Tribolium castaneum: one gene and its partners. The protein of the gene in region 1 binds, or shares a complex with, the protein of each later gene. Links are inferred from orthologs where the notes say so. Each region holds a gene or a part of one and is shown on either strand. Other genes may lie near its edges.

What was found.
Region 2: mitochondrial import inner membrane translocase subunit Tim21 (region 1) and mitochondrial import inner membrane translocase subunit TIM50-C share a complex: the UniProt entries of both Homo sapiens proteins name them as parts of the TIM23 complex. The link is inferred for Tribolium castaneum from reciprocal best matches to the Homo sapiens genes TIMM21 and TIMM50.
Region 3: mitochondrial import inner membrane translocase subunit Tim21 (region 1) and COX assembly mitochondrial protein homolog share a complex: the UniProt entries of both Homo sapiens proteins name them as parts of the MITRAC (mitochondrial translation regulation assembly intermediate of cytochrome c oxidase complex) complex. The link is inferred for Tribolium castaneum from reciprocal best matches to the Homo sapiens genes TIMM21 and CMC1.
Region 4: mitochondrial import inner membrane translocase subunit Tim21 (region 1) and Surf1 share a complex: the UniProt entries of both Homo sapiens proteins name them as parts of the MITRAC (mitochondrial translation regulation assembly intermediate of cytochrome c oxidase complex) complex. The link is inferred for Tribolium castaneum from reciprocal best matches to the Homo sapiens genes TIMM21 and SURF1.
Region 5: mitochondrial import inner membrane translocase subunit Tim21 (region 1) and mitochondrial import inner membrane translocase subunit Tim23 share a complex: the UniProt entries of both Homo sapiens proteins name them as parts of the TIM23 complex. The link is inferred for Tribolium castaneum from reciprocal best matches to the Homo sapiens genes TIMM21 and TIMM23.

The regions. Positions count from the first base shown.
Region 1 is NC_087398.1:6,903,881-6,908,082, reverse strand, and holds mitochondrial import inner membrane translocase subunit Tim21, read right to left. Parts: upstream 2,385-4,202; 5' UTR 2,188-2,384; intron 2,140-2,187; 5' UTR 2,136-2,139; coding exon 1,644-2,135; intron 1,591-1,643; coding exon 1,555-1,590; intron 887-1,554; coding exon 782-886; 3' UTR 750-781; downstream 1-749. Other genes in the region: transmembrane protein 231, read left to right, coding at 36-164, 217-442, 490-749; solute carrier family 66 member 2, read left to right, coding at 2,540-2,742, 2,795-2,931, 3,129-3,194. UniProt on the Homo sapiens protein: Participates in the translocation of transit peptide-containing proteins across the mitochondrial inner membrane.
Region 2 is NC_087399.1:10,216,600-10,220,676, forward strand, and holds mitochondrial import inner membrane translocase subunit TIM50-C, read right to left. Parts: upstream 2,374-4,077; 5' UTR 2,200-2,373; coding exon 1,078-2,199; 3' UTR 1,017-1,077; downstream 1-1,016. UniProt on the Homo sapiens protein: Essential component of the TIM23 complex, a complex that mediates the translocation of transit peptide-containing proteins across the mitochondrial inner membrane. Has some phosphatase activity in vitro; however such activity may not be relevant in vivo.
Region 3 is NC_087399.1:7,831,379-7,834,734, forward strand, and holds COX assembly mitochondrial protein homolog, read right to left. Parts: upstream 1,462-3,356; 5' UTR 1,394-1,461; coding exon 1,327-1,393; intron 1,191-1,326; coding exon 877-1,190; 3' UTR 846-876; downstream 1-845. Other genes in the region: Tsen2 (tRNA-splicing endonuclease subunit Sen2), read left to right, coding at 717-845; Rpn11 (26S proteasome non-ATPase regulatory subunit 14), read left to right, coding at 1,496-1,673, 1,722-2,479. UniProt on the Homo sapiens protein: Component of the MITRAC (mitochondrial translation regulation assembly intermediate of cytochrome c oxidase complex) complex, that regulates cytochrome c oxidase assembly.
Region 4 is NC_087394.1:36,916,078-36,919,743, reverse strand, and holds Surf1 (surfeit locus protein 1), read right to left. Parts: upstream 1,766-3,666; 5' UTR 1,709-1,765; coding exon 1,556-1,708; intron 1,507-1,555; coding exon 1,385-1,506; intron 1,337-1,384; coding exon 757-1,336; 3' UTR 744-756; downstream 1-743. Other genes in the region: pins (G-protein-signaling modulator 2), read left to right, coding at 33-117; breast cancer type 2 susceptibility protein homolog, read left to right, coding at 2,686-3,666. UniProt on the Homo sapiens protein: Component of the MITRAC (mitochondrial translation regulation assembly intermediate of cytochrome c oxidase complex) complex, that regulates cytochrome c oxidase assembly.
Region 5 is NC_087394.1:25,694,492-25,698,356, reverse strand, and holds mitochondrial import inner membrane translocase subunit Tim23, read left to right. Parts: upstream 1-1,688; 5' UTR 1,689-1,811; coding exon 1,812-1,875; intron 1,876-1,926; coding exon 1,927-2,167; intron 2,168-2,213; coding exon 2,214-2,495; intron 2,496-2,541; coding exon of another isoform or gene 2,542-2,551; exon of another isoform or gene 2,552-2,813; intron 2,814-2,843; coding exon 2,844-2,853; 3' UTR 2,854-2,971; downstream 2,972-3,865. Other genes in the region: centrosomal protein 43, read right to left, coding at 3-83. UniProt on the Homo sapiens protein: Essential component of the TIM23 complex, a complex that mediates the translocation of transit peptide-containing proteins across the mitochondrial inner membrane.

The DNA of each region.
Region 1 (4,202 bases):
TTTGTAACTATTAATTTACATATTGTGCCTTTTAGGTTCGTGAAACTGACAGAAATTTTGATGGTAAAACAGAAGAATTAGATTTGTCTCTCCAAGTTAATCTTCCAGTTAATACTCACCTCACGTCTTTTTGCATAATCATTCCATTTAATTATAAATTACAAGTAAGAAATTCGAATGTGTTCTTTTTTCTATATTTCTGTTTTTTTCCAATAGGTTTGTCCTCTTGAAATGCAGACTGCCATTATTTTTCAAGAATTGTTACCATTTTATATATCGAAGTATTCATTGGTGGCTAATGTGGTTGTGACCCAAACTAGCCCCTTAATTTGCCACAGAAAAAACACCAATACGTTATTTAATTATCCTGTGATTGTGGATAATGGGGATTTAAATAACTATGACATAAATACCATTATCACAAACTTTTCAAAGAGAAACAGTATAAGTTAAAGAATCTACAAAGCAATAACTAACATATTTTTTCAGTATCCACATCATTGAGAGACGTCTATAAAAGTTTTTCTCCTGGAAAAACTCAAAATTTCGTATTAAACTTAAATATAGAATTTCCAGAAGACAGGATATACTACAAGCCGGGCTTTTGGCAAGTACTGAAGTGGGCCTGGATCCAGTACCTCTCACTTTACATAATAATCTCATGGATAATTGCAAAAATAAAGCACTATATTTTTAGCAGGAGATTAATACTGTTTTTTGAAGAAAATCCGGTGAAGAAAAAACAATAAAAATTTAACAAACTTTATTATCATCGTTTTATTTACAACGTCAAGTCTAGTGGCTCTGAAGACGAACTAGAAGACGAAACTGCGTTCCTGTTGTCTTCCAGAACAATTGCTGTTTGTAGGAGATCGTCCACTTGAACCAGGGTGGTGAAACCTAAATGCACCAAGCCAAGTATAGGCGCCAAATTCAAAATCGACTGTAGTTCGGCTTGCTATCGCAGATGTCGCACACACGTATAGTCAATTTTAGCGAAGCTACCTATAATATCGGCAGAAATTAACAGTGGACCTGTGACAGTTGCCATTGTGTAAATCGCCATTTTGTGCTTGGTTTGTTTGGTGTTCGCCCTCGGCTTTGTTTTATGTGAAATTAGTACTGTTTTGTGGTTTTTTTCGTGTGTGTGCTTTTTTGAACTTTTTTATTGTGGGAATATAAATAATTTGATGGATCAATCATTAGTTTATAGTTATCGTATCGTGTATATTGACTAGTGATAATAAATTTTTATTACAAGTTTATTGTCTTTATTTATTCTCATATTTTATTTTTCGTATTCTTTGTAAATATTCAGCAACAATAGTTGTCTAACATCAGAAAGTGTTATTAGCAACTATTGTTGTGAATATTTACAAACAATACGAAAAATGCAATCAAACTTTAAAAGAAAAGTAACTACGGGCAATTCAAATCGCCCGCCGATAACGCTTAGTACGCGCTGGCAACAATAGATGTGCTAGTGACACTTTCGCTCTATCCGGACAAGGACAGATGCGTTTCTGTAAAACCTGTTATTCTGTGCACTTGAACAAATAAGTACCGATATTCATATTTCCCCGAATCATTCTAAAAAAAAGTAATAAAAAACTGACAGGATGGCTTACAATTGCAAAACGCACCTCCACCATCTCCAGTTGCACAGTCCCTTGGTGGAAACTCCCTTTTAAATAAAACTTCATCCTCAAACACTGCCTTCCATCTCTGTTATAAATCACATGACTGACATGTTGTCGTCTCCTCCTCGTTGTTTCGGCCCCAAAGGCCGTAATCGGAAGTCCGAGTTTATCCTGGATTCGGGGATCAGCCTTACACCTCTCAACTGCCTTAGAATACACATTATTGGGGCTTTTACTCGAGAACAACTCATTGAAAACTGCATAAAACAGTGAGCCTGTCACCCCCACGCCCAGCAAGATTATGCCTAAATAGGAAGCAGTCTTTGTCGTTTCTTTCACTTTTTCGCCTAGTTTTACATTAGTATCAACCTCGCTCCTCACTGTTTTGCTGAGGGCCTGTCGGCTTTTGCCGCGCTTGATTTGGTTGGATATGGGGTTGTAAAACAGCAATAACCGGCACCTACATACTGGGTTAACGAGCCGGGACGTGATCATCTTGCTGCAATAAATCTATTGCGTAAAAGAGCAGAAATAATTATTTTTATACCTTTTTCAATGACATGAAGCATAACCTATCCACACCGATGACATATGTGTCTACGGTTACGCGATAAAAAATTGGAAAAAAAAGTTAATGTGCGCCTTAGGTCACAAATTGTCTAATTGGGAAAAAAAACTAGCGATTGTGGCAATTGCAAAAACTGCCGATTTGTGTCAAAAGAGGGGTCGTTTTTTATTTGTAATTAAATTTGGGGCGCGCCGGCGCGTCACCTTCGCCACCGTAGCCCATTTAACTTGACATTTTTAGTTGACATTTGACAGTTGAGTGAACACAGTGGTAATAAAGATGGGCAACAGCAAATAAAAAGGCATTTGCTTGTTGTTAAGTAGTTAGAAGCATGGATTGGGTGATATCGGACGAGTTGTCCCTGACGGTGGGAACAGTGGTCGGCTGGGTCAGCGCTGGTGCTATGATTATAGGAGGTGTCATCCCCTACATCCCCCAGTACAGACAAATCAGAAAGACACAAGATGCTGAGGGCTTTTCGCTGCTAGTTTGCTTGGCCCTTCTGGTGGCCAACACCTTACGTATCATGTTTTGGTAAGAGCTGCTCTGCTCTGAGTAAAGTCATACTTGAATCTTGGGCTTTTAGGTTCGGCAGACACTTTGAGTACCCCCTTTTGATCCAAAGCATAATCATGAACGTCACAATGTTCATTATGATACACTTATGTGTTCGTGTGAGGAATAGGAATCAGCTTATGCAAGCCAGACAGCGGATATTTACAGGTATGGATTTTTGCAGGGGTTATTTTTAGAAAAACAATCAATATCCAAATAAATCTGAGATAATTGGCTCCTCAATGTTACAGAAATGCGATTTATGGTAAATGATTATTTTTTTATCCTGTTTTGCGCACACCTGTATTTTTAATTTTTACTATTAGCGTTACAAAATTCGAATAATAAATTTTTATTTTTGACAGCTAAACCCAGTGAAGTCGTCAGATTGTTAAAATCTAAGCCTCCCCGCTCTTCTCACAATATTTGTGGTAATTGCTTGCACGCCTCGCTTTTGCTTTCAGTACTAACAACGATTTAAAGTACTGCCAAGTTAGCACAAGTTTTTTTGTTAACTCTAGCAGTTAGCGTTATCAAAGACCCTTCTTCAGCAGTAATTAGAGTTTGTTGGCATTACTTTAGTCAGCATGATAAATCTTTTCTATTTCTATCATTGAACCCATATTTAACATGGATTTCTATTTCTTATCTCTACTAAGGTCATTAGAGTCAAATTATTTAATCAGAGAATAAATAAAAGTAGTACTATCTTCGCTTCTAATACTCTTATCGAATTTGACGACCCACGTTTTGTTACATTATTTTATTCATTGACGCCAAATGTTACGTAATGAATGGTAGGTGTGTAAGTCATTTTTTATTTAGTTTGAAGCCTATTATAAACAAAACTTAGATAATAGTTACGTATCCTCGAAATTTGTAATCTCTTAATTCAATTGTTGCATTGTTACGACGAAATCGCGATTAATTTTAAAACTGCCTACCAATATTTATTTCGCCAAATTAGTTTCGTTATTACGGCTTTTTGTGGTTTAAAACAAATTGTCTCGACTTGTACTCCAAGAATAAAGTTTCAAAAATAATTGGAAATACGGACTTTAAATGCTGTACGATTTGGAGCGACTTGTTAGCTATTATTTTACAAAACTTGTCAAGGTTTTTATTTCCTACAAATAGATTTTTTTTTAAATACATAATTGTATTTTTTGTTAAGAATAATATGAGTTAAAAGCAAATTTGCACTTGAATGAACTGTTGATGAAATTTATTAATTTATTCGCAGGAAATGATAACTTCTGGACATTGAAAAGGCTATTTATACTTATTTTCTTGCGATATCACAGTTATAACAACACTGAGTTTCGATTTTATTAGAAAATGAAATTTTCTCTTTCAGCAACTCAAACGATAATTAAATTGAAATTTTTTGTTAAGCATATATTTTGATTTTGTGTTTTTTTTTTTCAATAAATTCAATT
Region 2 (4,077 bases), on another chromosome or scaffold:
TTCAGGGGGTGTAGCTCCCTTACGAAGTAGTTTTCGATACATGTTTCTAAGAAACTTTTGTCTTAAAATTTAATGTTCTATCACTCGTTTAAATTTGTAACAATAAAAACGAAACATCCTGTATTTGCCTAAGAAACAGATAAAATTTGGGAAACAATAATCGCTTTGTTCGCAGTAGCGATCCTGAACTAGTTCAAACATCAATCGCAGCTAATACTTATTTTTAAATAACATTAAAAAAATATGAAATAGTTATTAACGATTAGCTCTCTCATTGAAAGTACAAAGTCTGTTGAAAAGAAACTAAATAAATAAAATGCATAAGGCATTTTTGACAAATGTTCGACATTTTTCAATACGAAACGTCAGATTATTCTTAATAGTATTTGTTCAAACTTAACTTTAAATTTTTTGGGTTTATTAAATTACTTTGAACACACTGGAAAACAAATAACTGCTTTCTCTTTTAATTCTCCAAATATGATTTCGAAATCTTTAAAACAAAGAAAGTTACCGATTTTTTAAGCAAAACCAAAATTTTTCAAGGAATCTTAAATATCCCGAAAACGGTTAAAGTCAGGTATAGGAAAAGCTGATAAAAACGGCCTTTAAATAACTCAACTAATCCAAAAACGCAGTGAAAAACAGCTTTTAAAATAAGAAAGTTGATACCAACTTCTGGTATAACCGGAAGTGCCGGCATCTTAAAAATATTTTTATTGAAAAGAACTCAACCGATTATGGTTGAGTACCAACTTCCAGATGAATATCTTTATTAGAACTTTCAGTACTTCTAATGTGGAGTTTAGACGGAACATAGTGTATATCCCATTTCAGTTCATAGTAGAATTTTGCAACAGTACATTTAAATTTTTCGAAGTGATATAAAGCACAAATTGAGAGTATCATAAGAAAAGAGTTCTGTGTTAAATTAAATACCAACGACAAATTTTGGGCCAAGAATTTTTTTGTCTTGATCAATAGGGTTTTATGTATAAGAAAAATAAAACACCCGCTTTATTTACATATCAAACTTTAATTTTTACCGAAATAATTACAAGCCTTAAATTAATCTAACTAGAACTGCTTCCTTGAGAAAATCGTCGGCACCCACGGTCTCGGTTTAGCTTCCTGTTCTTTTTTCTTCGCCCCTTGTGCCTCCAAAAGCTCCATCAACTTTTTCTGTTTCTCTCGAAATGCTTCAATCGGATCGTCATATTTGCTATAATACAGTAAAACCTCTCTAACATCTTCAATATTATTATCAACTATCGTCTTCAAAAAGATCGATAAATCAACCAAAGACAAGTCCTCATCAGCCCCTTCCCATCTCCTGACTTTCAAAAGATTCTCCGGATGGAACTGCACACTATTCGGATTCCAATCCACTACAATAACTTTACTCAAATCCCGGTTCAATTTGTCCAGACTTTTGACATGGTGCCCGCCTACGAAGTGCGTCGCGTCTCTCACCAGCTTGTACGAGATGAGGTTTTTGGGGTCCATGGCCTCAATCAGGGGAAAAACCGTCATTCCTTGCTCCGCCGTGTAGACAACAATTTCGAAATGTCCATGAAGAGACTCAAGAAAGTAATCTAAACCTGGCCTCTTCTTGAACCTCCAACCAGTGTTGTAAGTCCAATCGGGGTGCACCAGAACATCGGTCAGTTCCAAGACAAGAGTATATTTAGGTTGTAAATAGGGGTACTGAAGGGGGTCTGGCAATAACTTGTCCCTGGAGGGCTCCTTAATCAACCTCCTGTAATTATCCAACTCCCGGTACGTTCTCATTAAATACTGGCGCCACAGCGGCAAGTGCGACAAGTCGTCTTCGATCACGCGCCCCTCTCTGTCTCTTTCCGGAGCCCCCAAGACAAAAATCAAGTACGAACCCAAACACGTGAAAGACACTCCGAAGAAGATTAGTGTGAGTTTCATTGTTCGCCATGACGCCTCTCGCTGTTTTCTTGCTTCTTCTTCCTCCGAATTTGCTTTCTCGTTCGTTTCTTTGGCTATGAGACTACCGAGGGGCGACTTGACCGGCTGCTTTTTTGCATCTTCGGCGTAATTCCGATGTTGAATTATGACTAGTGGTGACTTGAACAGCACTCGGGGGCCGTTCCGTGTGAGAATTAGGGAGGTTTTGTGTCGAAATAAATTACTAAACACGTTCAAAGTTCTAAAAGTAGATCTGTACATTTTGAGGTTAGGATGCAACTGTCAAACACGTTGCGGTTCAAATCGTGGGGAAAAATTCCACCGGGGGTTTTGTTACATAAAATGATAAAAACCTGCACGATGGGACTTTGCACTGGGGCTACGGAACCATTTATAATTTTTTTGGCATGGTTGAATTAAACGAAATTGTGTTGGTAGCAGTGGCACGTAGTGTGTTTTTTGTCTTTTTGAATTGAATTCAATTAAAAAAAATTCAAAAATAGTCATTTTCGATGTATTTAATTTAATTTCCTGGAAAAAGCGACTAATTTGGAAAATTAAAAAAGACAAAATTGTTTATGTATACATTTTCCAAAAAAATCTCACTTGTGAAATGAGCTACAGACTGATCCAGAAATACTGAGTCTGTTGGCAACACATTTGGAAGTATTTGTACTCATAAATTGCAACATTGCAACCGAATTCGATTTTTTTTGACAATTATTTGACGTACAACCCTACAAGATTGTTGTTAACTAGAAGAGTACTCCATTGGTATCCTTAAAAATTTAAGTCCAGTGTTGCCAACAGACTCAGTATTTCTGGATCAGTCTGTAAATCTAAAGAAAGAGATCGGTATGTTATTTTCTATTTTCGACGTTTATTGTAAACTCTTCGACGATTTAAAATTTGTCTACCTTTTTGTAAGTAGATTTTATTTTTCTACCAAAAATAAATAAAAACATAAATATTAATCAAAAAGTTTGGAAATATATTGCAAACACCCTGTATAATTTAGATCAATCCAACTTGATTAGTGCATCTAGCCTCAGTTAGACCTTGTTTAAGACCTACATACTAATAAAGTCATCAAGAAAGCATCATTTCTTATTTATTATTAATTTTTTGCAATACCTACTGTTTTGTAAGTCATCGTTCACTGACAAATATCTTTCATTGTAATCGGCACTTTTTAGTCTGCTGTAAGTTTACATCGTTACCTTGCAGTAACATTTTACTTACAGTCCGTGGGCGGTAAGTAAATGTTACATACCAACGTATGTCACATGAAAATGTTTTCCTGAAATACGTCCTACAGCATAAATAACGCCTACAAAATATCAAAAGTCCAACTTTAATATTAAATGAGATATAGAAGACGAAGCTGTGCGGGATCACCATGTATACGTGATACGTACAGTCACGATTAAAAAGAATGACACCCCTAAAAGCGTAGCCACAAATCTTTTGATATGATATGGTTAATGTGTATGTTTGGCTAGTTTATAAACCAACTGCATATTGTGCAAATTACTTGGACAGTTTTGTAAACCAAGCTGTTTGTCCAAATTCATGATTTAAAAGATTTTAGTCGTACTTTGACTATCCGGTACGGTTGATAATGGTGTCATTCTTTTTAATCGTGTTTGTGTTAATAAAAAAAACATCAAGATCACAATAATCGAAAATTTATATTAAACGTAAAATTGTTTTAGGATCCCAAATTAGCCTTCACTTTTCTCTTACGATAAGTAGTTTTAGAGATATTAGATAAAATATGGTCGAGCCTGAGAGAAAGGGAAGCAATATGTTAAGGGTTCTTTTCGTTACGTATCGTCTTAAATTATTGTAGCAACATTTTGTTTGTACACCATAAAGTTTTACAACAGATAATGGTGTTTAGCATAAGCAACCCTCACAATAAGCTGTCTTGACAAGGGTGACCCGAAAATATTTACGATACCGATTAGTTCCTCTGAAAGAGTACAACTTGTCTGCAATAAATCACACAATAAGCTTGCCTCAGTGATTAGCTTGAAGGGTCCGTGCGGTTTGGGGTAATCATAATAAAAATTTAATGGTGTACAAAGAAAACGTTGCTATAGTGGCGGTCAGCTCGATTTGCGTGTGCGTCATCAA
Region 3 (3,356 bases), on another chromosome or scaffold:
ATAGTTATTGGACGCCGGAACTAGTTATTGGACAGGGATCTAATGACCAAAATAGTTATTTGTTGTATAATTTCCAACAAAATTTCAAATCCAATCTAATACTTAATTAATAATTCACGTCACTCATCTCAATCACGATCACTCTAGTCATTTTGTTCTTTAGTTTTTTATTCTTTGTGTTCCGAATCTTTTCTTTTTTTCTTCTTCTTCTTTAGTTTTGTCACTTTCTGCTTCTATTTCTTCCTCACTGGCATATATTAACTTATCCAGCTAATATTCACTGTTGTCATCCTTATAACAGAGACTTTATCTTTATTATTAGCATTTCTCAGCACTTGTACAGAAAAATCGAGAGTACATTGCCAGTAATAGCAGATATTTTGCGATACACTGCTACAACTTCAAACAGATAATTTTTTTGAGTTATTGGATTTAGTGGCAAACTATAACAGTATAGTAAACAAAAAATTGACCGGTGAAGACCAAGTTTTTGCTACATTTGCAATGAAAAAAGTTTTAAATGAAATATTAGTCTCATTGAAAAAATTAAACTCTGAAAGTCACGACCGTTCTGCTGAAGCTGTTTTATATTTCAAAGAAACACAATAGAAGAAATAGTTTGCGCGTTATGTCATAGCAATATGAAATCAAGAGACCTTATTTATCCCTGTCCAATAACTGTGCAGTTGTGCACATCACCCTATTGTTTTTTTAAGGAACTGCTGATTTGCGAGATTGTGTGCCCCGGTGTTTCCCCCGACTCAATCCCCTTCAACGAGATTGGCAAGTTTACGATCAAGGAAACAATAATGAAGCGGTGGACCCCCCAAATGGACCAAAATTAATTTATTACTACTTAGTTACTACAAAAAAAAATTACATGGAAGTTGCCATTCTTTGTTTCTGTTTTTGCGTAACTCCCGTCCTCCTGTATTCACTCCTTTCGTTTAAATACTCCTCCTTGCACCGATTTTTAAAATCTTCATCTTCATACCAACGAGTCAGACATTCTTTCAGTGCTGCGTTCTCTTTACGACACATGAAAGTCATCAAAATGTTGTTATTTTTGCAACATTCGGTGAATTTCTCGACGGCATCGGTGCATTTTTCGTCTCGTGCAATCTCGCGCATTTTTTTCGGGATCATAACGTCGATCTCAACCCTTCGCAGTGTGCGGTCGTTGGGGTCCCCTGAAACCAATTCAAATTAACCGCCTTTTGTTGCGTTTGGTTGCTCGGTCGGTAACTGATACGTCCCGGTCAACAGAGTCAAAGAAGGTGCTTTCGCACTCGAATTTACTCAATTGAACAATAGTGCCGTTCTTACCCAGTCCGTGGGGCCCACTTGCGTACTTCTCGTGCAGGAGATTCTTTTTTTGCGCGTCGTTTGCCATCGCAGAGAGTTACAATACCGGTATGTCAACTGTCGGATGTCATTCAAACGTCATGATTTGCAATTTTTGACAGAATCTTGAATTTGTGTTTAGTTGAGTAAAATGGATCGTTTGCTTCGTTTGGGTGGCGGAATGCCGGGCCTGTCTCAGGCGCCCCCTCCGTCGGACGCCCCCGTGGTGGACACGGCCGAGCAAGTGTACATCTCGTCGTTGGCCCTTTTGAAGATGTTGAAGCATGGCCGGGCTGGGGTCCCCATGGAAGTCATGGGCCTGATGTTGGGTGAGTTCCATCATGACTTTGCACAATCAATTTTACCGAAAACTTCAGGTGAATTCGTTGATGACTACACCGTGAGGGTGATCGACGTGTTCGCGATGCCCCAGACCGGGACTGGGGTCAGTGTGGAGGCCGTGGACCCCGTCTTCCAGGCCAAAATGCTGGACATGTTGCGCCAAACGGGCCGCCCGGAGATGGTCGTCGGGTGGTACCACTCCCATCCCGGGTTCGGGTGCTGGCTGTCGGGGGTGGATATCAACACCCAGCAGTCGTTTGAAGCCCTGAGTGAGCGGGCGGTGGCCGTGGTCGTGGACCCCATCCAGTCAGTCAAGGGCAAAGTCGTCATCGATGCCTTTAGGTTAATCAACCCGAATATGATGGTCCTGGGGCAGGAGCCCCGCCAGACGACGTCCAATTTGGGGCACTTGCAGAAGCCGTCAGTTCAAGCGCTGATTCACGGTTTGAACAGACACTACTACTCTATTAGTATAAACTACCGGAAGAATGAATTAGAGCAAAAGATGTTACTCAATCTGCATAAGAAGTCGTGGATGGATGGCTTAATCCTCGCAGATTATAAAAATAATTGCGGGATTAATGAAAAAACAGTCGCTGATGTTTTAGAATTGGCCAAAAATTATAACAAGGCGCTGGAGGAAGAGGAGAAGATGACGCCGGAGCAGTTGGCGATTAAAAATGTCGGGAAACAGGATCCGAAACGGCATCTTGAGGAGAAAGTTGATTTGTTGATGACTAATAATATTGTACAGTGTTTAGGGGCGATGTTGGACACGGTTGCGTTTAAATGAATTTTTCTCAAACTTGTCATCAATTGAATTGTGTTTTATAACTTATTTTAAATCAGGATTTTTTCTAATTAAACGATTTACAATTCGGTGTTTTTTATTTTTATACGCTACTGTCATTCACCTCCATATAACAAACCAATTCTTATCTAAATAAATCAGTTAAAAAAGTCGGTGAATAAGCTGTTAAATTCTACCAAAACAATGCCTTGTGAAGTCTGTAAGTGAGGATACGGATGTTTTAAAGACTACTTACTTCAGTTTAGAAAAATCAAGAAAAGATGAACGCGAAAACAAAATATTATTTTCTAAAAAAGAATGAATCTAAAAATATTTCAGAGATTTGGACAGCAACATGCACCTCTATATTTCAGATACAAAAAAAATAGTTAAGCAATCTAGCAACAAATCAGTGAATCAGACAAACCACTTTGTTCGCGCCTTTGTAACGATTACTTAATACAGTGTAACCTCCTGAACGGACACCCCTTCACAACGGACATTTTTGTAGGAACGTAACAAAACCTCCCATTAGCGGACACCTCTCCAAACGGACAATTAAAGGTTTTTATTTTAGAGAGTAACAAAAGTTCTAATACGATGTGCTGAAGACTAAATATCATCTAAATACAAAGTTTTAATTGACAAGTCAGAGCTATGTTTAATTTGAAAAATCACAACAACCCAGATTTTTGTGAGTCGAATAGAATCGAGCAAACACAAGCTATTAATTCATTTTTTTAAGTTGTATATGCGTTACTTATACTATTTTAAAAAAGGAAGAAAACGGTAGAAAAAAAATGATTTGGTTTCGTTTCTTATCAGCTTTAAAGCTATGATGTTAGGTATTTATTTTTTGGTGGGCGATGTAATTTGGAAT
Region 4 (3,666 bases), on another chromosome or scaffold:
CAAAAAAAATTATGTTGGATTATTTGTTGCAGAATGGCCAATGGTAACGTCCCGCATGCAACAAATGGTATTAGTAATAATTTTAAAAGCAATTCTTCGGGCAAGAAGAAGAAGTAATACGAATAAGTTAGAGTAAGTAAATTTGAAAACCCCATATCTGAATTTTTTATTTCGATTGACTGCCATTGGAGCATGTACGATAAAAAGAGAAAATCTAACGTAAAGTATATGTTATTTTATAATTTTATATATTTTTATATATGTTTAGTAAATAATATTGATGTATCTATTTCTTATTTTAACATATTCGAATTTATTATGTAATGGATTATCGAAATCAATTTTTGGTAAAGTTTATTGCTCTCTGTTTTTTTTTAACTATTTTCTCGTTCACTTAGGACCAAACATGCTCTATTAAAACACACTGTTACGATTACCTGAAATTTGTTGCCACATTGTATTATTGCGCCTAAAGTATTAAATGTGCAAAGTGCCAAATAAACGTTGTGACTGTGGCGACAGATTCTCTGCATGTCCCATCTCGAAATTTCTCTCTGTCCAATTGAATGCTTTACACATTGTTGACTAGACAAATGTTTGCCAAAGATGTTTCAAATATCCACACGTTTAATTAATAGACTGTTGAATTTCTTCCTCTTTTTATGAAAGATTTATATGAGAAAATTCATGTGTTACAAGCTGTTATTTACATGGTACAAAGTAGGAAAATAAATTTTATCAGCGAATTTTTCACATTTATTTAACCCGACTTAAGAATTGTTTGTACCACAGGTAAGACGTCGCTGCGCTTAAACTATACCACGTGAGAATATATGACAAGTGTTCGTTGCGTAAAGTGACCCGAGTTTGCCCCCCAATGGGGCCCTCAGAAGTATCAAAATCAGTAGTGGCTTCCAGAAGCACAGGAAGCGCTCCTGTAACCTTGGCCATTTGATTCAAATCGCGATAAAACCATTGGTTGCTGCCTTCCTGGTTTTTTGGTATGAAAGTGGGGCGATTTTCCTGAAGACGTACTATACCAACAACATCAACAACCCCCTTCACCTGTCCCTTGTCCCTTGTCGCTGGATTTTTGCACTTGGAAGGTACCCAACCCCGATTTATTAAAATCGTTTCATTCCGATCAGCTAATTTAAACGGTGTAATGACTAAAAAACCCTGGTTTTGCTTTGTTGTGGTCGACATGAGTTGACTTTTAGTTGCCGAATCGCCTTTTAAAATTAAAGTTCTGGGGCCTAAATATAACTCTTTGTCGTGGAGAAACTCGCCCCGGACGTGAACCGGCCGATATTCCAACTTTTCCAACTCATTTAAACTACAAGACATTTTGTTATTTGTGTAATTGACTTAGAAATGTACGGACTCGGTTGGTAATTGCACGGGATCAGCCTCAGTCAAGTTATGTAATTTTGCGATTAAATCCTCTTTCCATTTTTTACGTTGCACTTGCCATGTCCCAAGTGCGAAAGTTGAGGCTGGGATGACCTAAAATTGCCTGGTTAAGGTAAAATTGGGTGAAACCCAGTGACCTGACCAGGAGGAACCAACCCAAAGGGCCGATTTGTTTGGCTTGGCTCTTTGGGGTGACAAACTTTGAATGTGCATTAGAATACGAAACTTTGGTGAAATACACGCAACAACGTTTATTAAACGTTGAAAACTGTTTTAAATTTCGGACTAAGAACATTTTTTGTTGGGTTATGTTGACACAGTCAGAGGTGCCAACATCTCACGTCGCAATCATTTATTTCAATTATTGGCCCCAATGAAATACTGTTTTAGTAAAAGGGGCCTCATTGTAATACAATTGTTCGTTATTTTTCTTTGGAATTTATTTTTTTTATTTAAAAAAATTAATTTTTGTCATAAACAGCTTAGCTAACCTTTGACCAAAAGTTCCTAGTGTTTGCAACTGTTGGTGTGTAATGGCGGCGTTTGCTGTTTTTAAAAAAGCAAAAAAGTGAGTTTTTTCCACAATTTGTGCTTAAACCACATTTGGTTGTTTAAATAATCGTTATTTGTTGAATGCGTTGATCAATTTTTGGTAAATTTGTGGAAATTTAATGTTCCAATCTCAAAATGAACGATCGGCGTTTCTTAAGCAAATTGCGTTGCAATTGTTTTATTTCAACGTTTTTGCCCCATTGGTAAATGGGGTCTCACTTTAGCGAAATTGTTTATTTTTATTTGGAATTGAAATGTTTATTTTCATTTGGAATTGCGTTTTTATCTGAAAATTTAATTTTTGCTAAAACAGCTTAGTCAACTTTGATCAAAAGTTTCTAGTGTTTGAAATGAACTGGCGACGTTTACTGCTTGTAAGAAGAAAAAAGTGAGTGTTTTTTTACAATTTTTACTTAAATCACCTTTGGTTGCTTTAATAATTGGTTTTCCAATTATATAGTACTTTCGTTTGGAATTTCTTTTTTATTTGAAAAATCTTTTTTCAAAAACGGTTGTGCCAACGTTTGGCTGAAAGTCCCTAACGTTTGAAATTGTTGATGTGTAATGGCGGTGTTTACTGTTTGTAAAAAATAAAAATGTGAGTGTTTTTTTCTACGATTTGTGCTTGAATAAGTTTTGGTTGCTTTAATAGTTGGTGTTTGTTGAAAACGTTAGTGAATTTTGGGCAAGTTTGTGAAAATTCGGTTTTCCAACCTCAAAATGGAAGACCGGCCTTTATCACCTATTCTAAGCACTCAAATATCACGCAAATGGATTAGAAGCAAGAGATCACAGAAAAAAAGTCGGGTTAATTTGACGAACCGGTTTCTGGACGCGTCTTCCAGCAATGTTTTAACCCCAAGCCAAACCGAAAACTTTTTGGAAAGTATAGAAAAAGACTGGAGTTTGGATAAAAATTCTGATGATGTGTTGAAAAGAGCCGAAATTTTGACTCCTCCCCAAGGTTTTAATTGTAAAAATGAACCCAACAAAGTTGATAATCAAGGTTTCAAAGCGTCTGATGAAGCCTTGAAAAAGGCCAGAACGTTGTTTGACGACATGCTAAATCCTGAAGGTTGTAACAAGGAATTAAGTACTGGTTTTGCAGGTTTTAAAACAGCTTCAGGAAAAAATTCCTTAAGATCCGAAAATGCAGTCAAAGAAGCTAGGAATAGGAACAGTAATGAGGGAACTACCACAAGTTTTGTCGGTTTTAAAACAGCTTCAGGGAAAAGTTCCCTAATGTCTAAGAGTGCAATCAAACAAGCTAGGAATAAATTAAGCGAAGATTTTAATACGAAAATTTCGGAATATAACGCAAGTTTTTCGGGTTTTAAGACAGCTTCAGGGAAATGTACAGTAATGTCCGAAAGAGCAATCAACCAGGCCAGGAATAAATTAAACGAGAATTTTAATTTTGAAGACGTTAAAAATGCGAAAAAATCAGATTTGAGTGACGAGTTCAGAGGTTTTAGTCAAGATATGATTGAGAAAAATCGGAAAAAACTTGACGAATTTCGCTCGATTGTAACACAATTTAACAAAGGTGTAAAAAAAGAAAAAAACTTAGAAACCGTTCGGGAATTTCCTAAAAATAGGGGCTTCCAATCAGTGAATTTATCAAAAGACAGGCTGGAAAAAGCGCGTCAATTGTTCCAAGGTCTGGACGATTCGTTTGGTCGCAAAAGGCGTTTTTTTGAG
Region 5 (3,865 bases), on another chromosome or scaffold:
ACTCGTATTTTCGGGAGGCAACCGTTTAATTCGAGGGTTTGAGCCACCATGTCTCGCAATTCCACTTCTTCCTCAACTGACATTTTCCCACTTAAACACACGGTTTGCAACGAATTGTCAATCACAGCACAAACAACTGAGCAATTTCATTAAAACAACAGAAAACAAGACCTAAATGAAAAAAAATTGCGTTCCCTCAACCCCCATTTCAATCACCTGTCACTTGTCAAACGTCATTTTTAAACCAGCGGACACCAAACAAACACCTCAGCTCAATTTTTTTATTATTAAATTTACAAGTCAGTGATGTGCCGAATGTGATAGCCGTCTTGACGGCGACCGCCTTATGCTCTTCAAGACCGAAAAAATCGTATTCGGGGCTACCCCCAAGTTCAAGAATTCGACCAAAATCCTACAACATGTTGACGATTACTGGTTTGTTGATATTTCAGGTTTCAGGAAAAAATACCTGAAAACTTTTACATCCATGTGAACACCTGCCAATTCGCCTAATAATTGGAGCTCATCTTGGTGGGGCTGCAGCCGCCCGGAAAAATTTGAAGATGTCTCGGTGTGCATTTTGAAACTTGACACGCTTATGCCAAATAGCGGCTTTTTATCCGACAAATTATTAGTTGAACTCATCAAAAATTCGATCAGTTAAATGTTTTCGGTGTTATAGCCCCTTACACCAACCGCCAAACTGTCGCATTTTGACACATGTCAACAAATTTTAAATACCTGATTGAAAATTAAAAATAGCTCGATAAAGTCTCGCCATAATTACAAGATAATTTGTGATTGATTTACGTCCAAAGGTCCAAACGTTCAAAAAGTTCAATTAATTTTTACAATTTCGTGACAATGCTTACGTCCTGTGATTAGTTTGCCGAAATTATTTTAACTTAAATTTTTACTAAGTGGCCGCAATATTAAAAATCTAAATGTTGGAAGTACAAACAGCAAAGATTCGTGTACGAAAATTCAGCTTTGCAGTACAAGATCTGTCCTGTTTTTACTCTCAAGAAAAGTGCACTCATTGAACAAGTCATAGACAGAAACGCACAAGAAAGACGTAACCGTAAATTATTAAAAACGCACATCCTCATTACAAAAAATGCACGGAATAGTAATATATTCGATATTTGTTTAAAATTGTAAGAATATAAAAAAATCATTAACCAGTATTTTATTTGTTACTAAGTTTTAGATAATATGCCACTGTGATAGAGATTGCACCAATTCAAATATAAGTTTACGTGTATTACATTTCTAACAGTCACCTGTCAAGCACATATTACATACTTGCATGTAATGCCTCACAAAATAAATTTGTGCTGTAGTATAAATTGAGTTCCTATATTAAATTATAAACGATTAAATGCTCTTTTTTTATTAAAATGTTAGTCATGAGAAGTCCATTTTTAATAGAGGTAATTTAATAATAGTAGACTAAAAATTTCTGCTCCTAAAAATCCGACAAATATGTTTCTGTTTATGACATTTCTAGATTTAACCGATTCTACCAAAGAAACAATGATTGCGTCCTGTGAGTAGGTTTCCAAAATTATTTTACCCCAAATTTCAACTAAACGGCCGTAATTAAAAAAAAAACACGAATACTGCAAGTATGAGCAACAAAAAGTAACCATTTTATGCGCGAAAATTTTTCTTTATCCCCTCAAGATCCGTCCTGTATTTACCCCTTCCGACATTTTCTCGACCTTCGTGTCGCATGTGTGTGTGTGTAACAATCAAATTACCAAATTTCGGCCAAAAACTCGAAAATTTCCTGTGTCAGTGCTCAAAAAATGTCAGCCTTGAATGATACCGACATTTATTCCCAAAATTACAACACCACAAGCGGCAATTTAGGTAAAAACCCCGACATAACCTCAAACCCCGATTATATAAACCCAATTCCAGGATCTTACAAACAATTCTCGTCACCATACCTCAACTTTGACCCCAGTTACCTGCCTCAAGCCCAACCCGAGTTCATCTTCCTCGAAGGGGCTAGCAAACAACGGGGGCGATTCGAGCTAGCCTTTGGCCAAATCGGGGGCTCTTGCATGATTGGGGCCTCGGTGGGGGGCGCCTCCGGGTTTTATAACGGCTTGAAAGCGACCACTTTGGCAGGACAAACGGGGAAATTAAGACGGACACAGTGAGTTTCTTCAATTGGTAGTGTTTTTCACTGATTGTAATTGTAGGTTATTGAATCATGTTATGAAACAAGGCAGTGCCACAGCCAACACGTTCGGGTCCATAGCTGTGATTTATTCAGCGTTTGGCGTTTTCCTCTCGTGGGCACGGGGGGCTGATGACGATCTTAACACTATTATTGCAGCCACGGCAACTGGTTGTTTGTACAAGTCCACAGCTGGCTTAAGGAAATGTGGCTTAGGTGGGGCTGTGGGATTAGGAGCCTCTGTTTTGTACGCCCTCTGGAATTCGCGAGATAAATTCACACAGTTGAGGCCACTCAATCCGGCGTAAGATTCTGTTTGTTTTAGAAACGAATTTTAACATAGGTTTTAGGTTAACTTAAGTACTGATTGGCTAGACAACTAAATTATTTTAACAATTTCCATAGATAGTACAATTTATCTACATAGTAGAGCGCTTGTGTTACCAATAAATTGTCATTATTTAGATTGGACAAGCCAATTTTTGGTAGGATATAGAAAGTTATAAAAACGATTTTTACCACTTTTTTTATACTTTCTATCAACTTATCGTTTGTATATAATTTGTGCTGTGATCTACCATTGTTACATATGTAATAAAAATTGCAACTATTCTTTTTCGAAGCTTATTTTTAATTCATTATTTTTCTGCAGGCAACGGTAGCGAGCCAGGAAACCGTTTTAACCCTCTGGTTTTAACCAAGACTGTAGATAAGTGTAAATACATTTCCAAATTATGCGAAAATATTGTAAGTTATTTAATAAATTTATTCACGTTTTAAGTAGCTTGAATTATTTGCGTTAACAGTGGCCGGCATTTACAAAATTTCAGCGATTTCTTAACATCAAAAATTAAAAAAAAGAGTAGTTTTAGTTTTTTACTACTATAATAAATTTGTTTTAAAACGCTGATTACGGCGAAACTAAATCAGCTACGAGATAGTCTTGTTCTATTGTAAAGAATACATCAAAATCTATTACGTAGGAGGGTTGCATGTTTTAATCTCCCAGTTCTACAGGTGCTCAAAAACTGGCGCACCAACTCAGTGGTACGTTATTGAGAAGCAAGTGCAGATTACGGGAAAAATGTTGAAAAAATTCCCAAAGTTATATTTTAAAAAATCTGGAGCTACAAACTTATTGTGTTAACTTCTTTAGTTTTCATTATTTTTTTATGTTTTTATGTTTCATACCAGGTAATCGTTCCGTAACAAAACGATGAATAATTATTTTTAAATTTACTATCAGATTTTAGCAGTTTTTTTAATTTAAAAAAATTAAAATTCATCCAAAAATCACAATGTGTAGATGTGCCAACACTGGGAATTATTTCCTAGGAAACCGTTTCAAAAATAATTTATTTTTATTGTTGCTCAAATTCTATTGCGATCATGACTATTAGACAACGTTGCCACATATCATTTATATAAAATCCATTATTTATCAATAACTTTAATACAAAGAATTTTTTTACTATTTTTACCTTTATATGTTACCAATTCTCTACCACACACCATTGAGTTGGTGCGCCAGTTTTTGAGCACGCTGTATAATTTCAACAAATAAAAAAATGAAAATATCAAACTAAAAGTTTTAGTTCTTGGTAGTTCAGACTTAGATTTTAATATTGTTACGGTATAACAGTTGTTTCAATTGAGCGCGCAAAGTTCTATAAA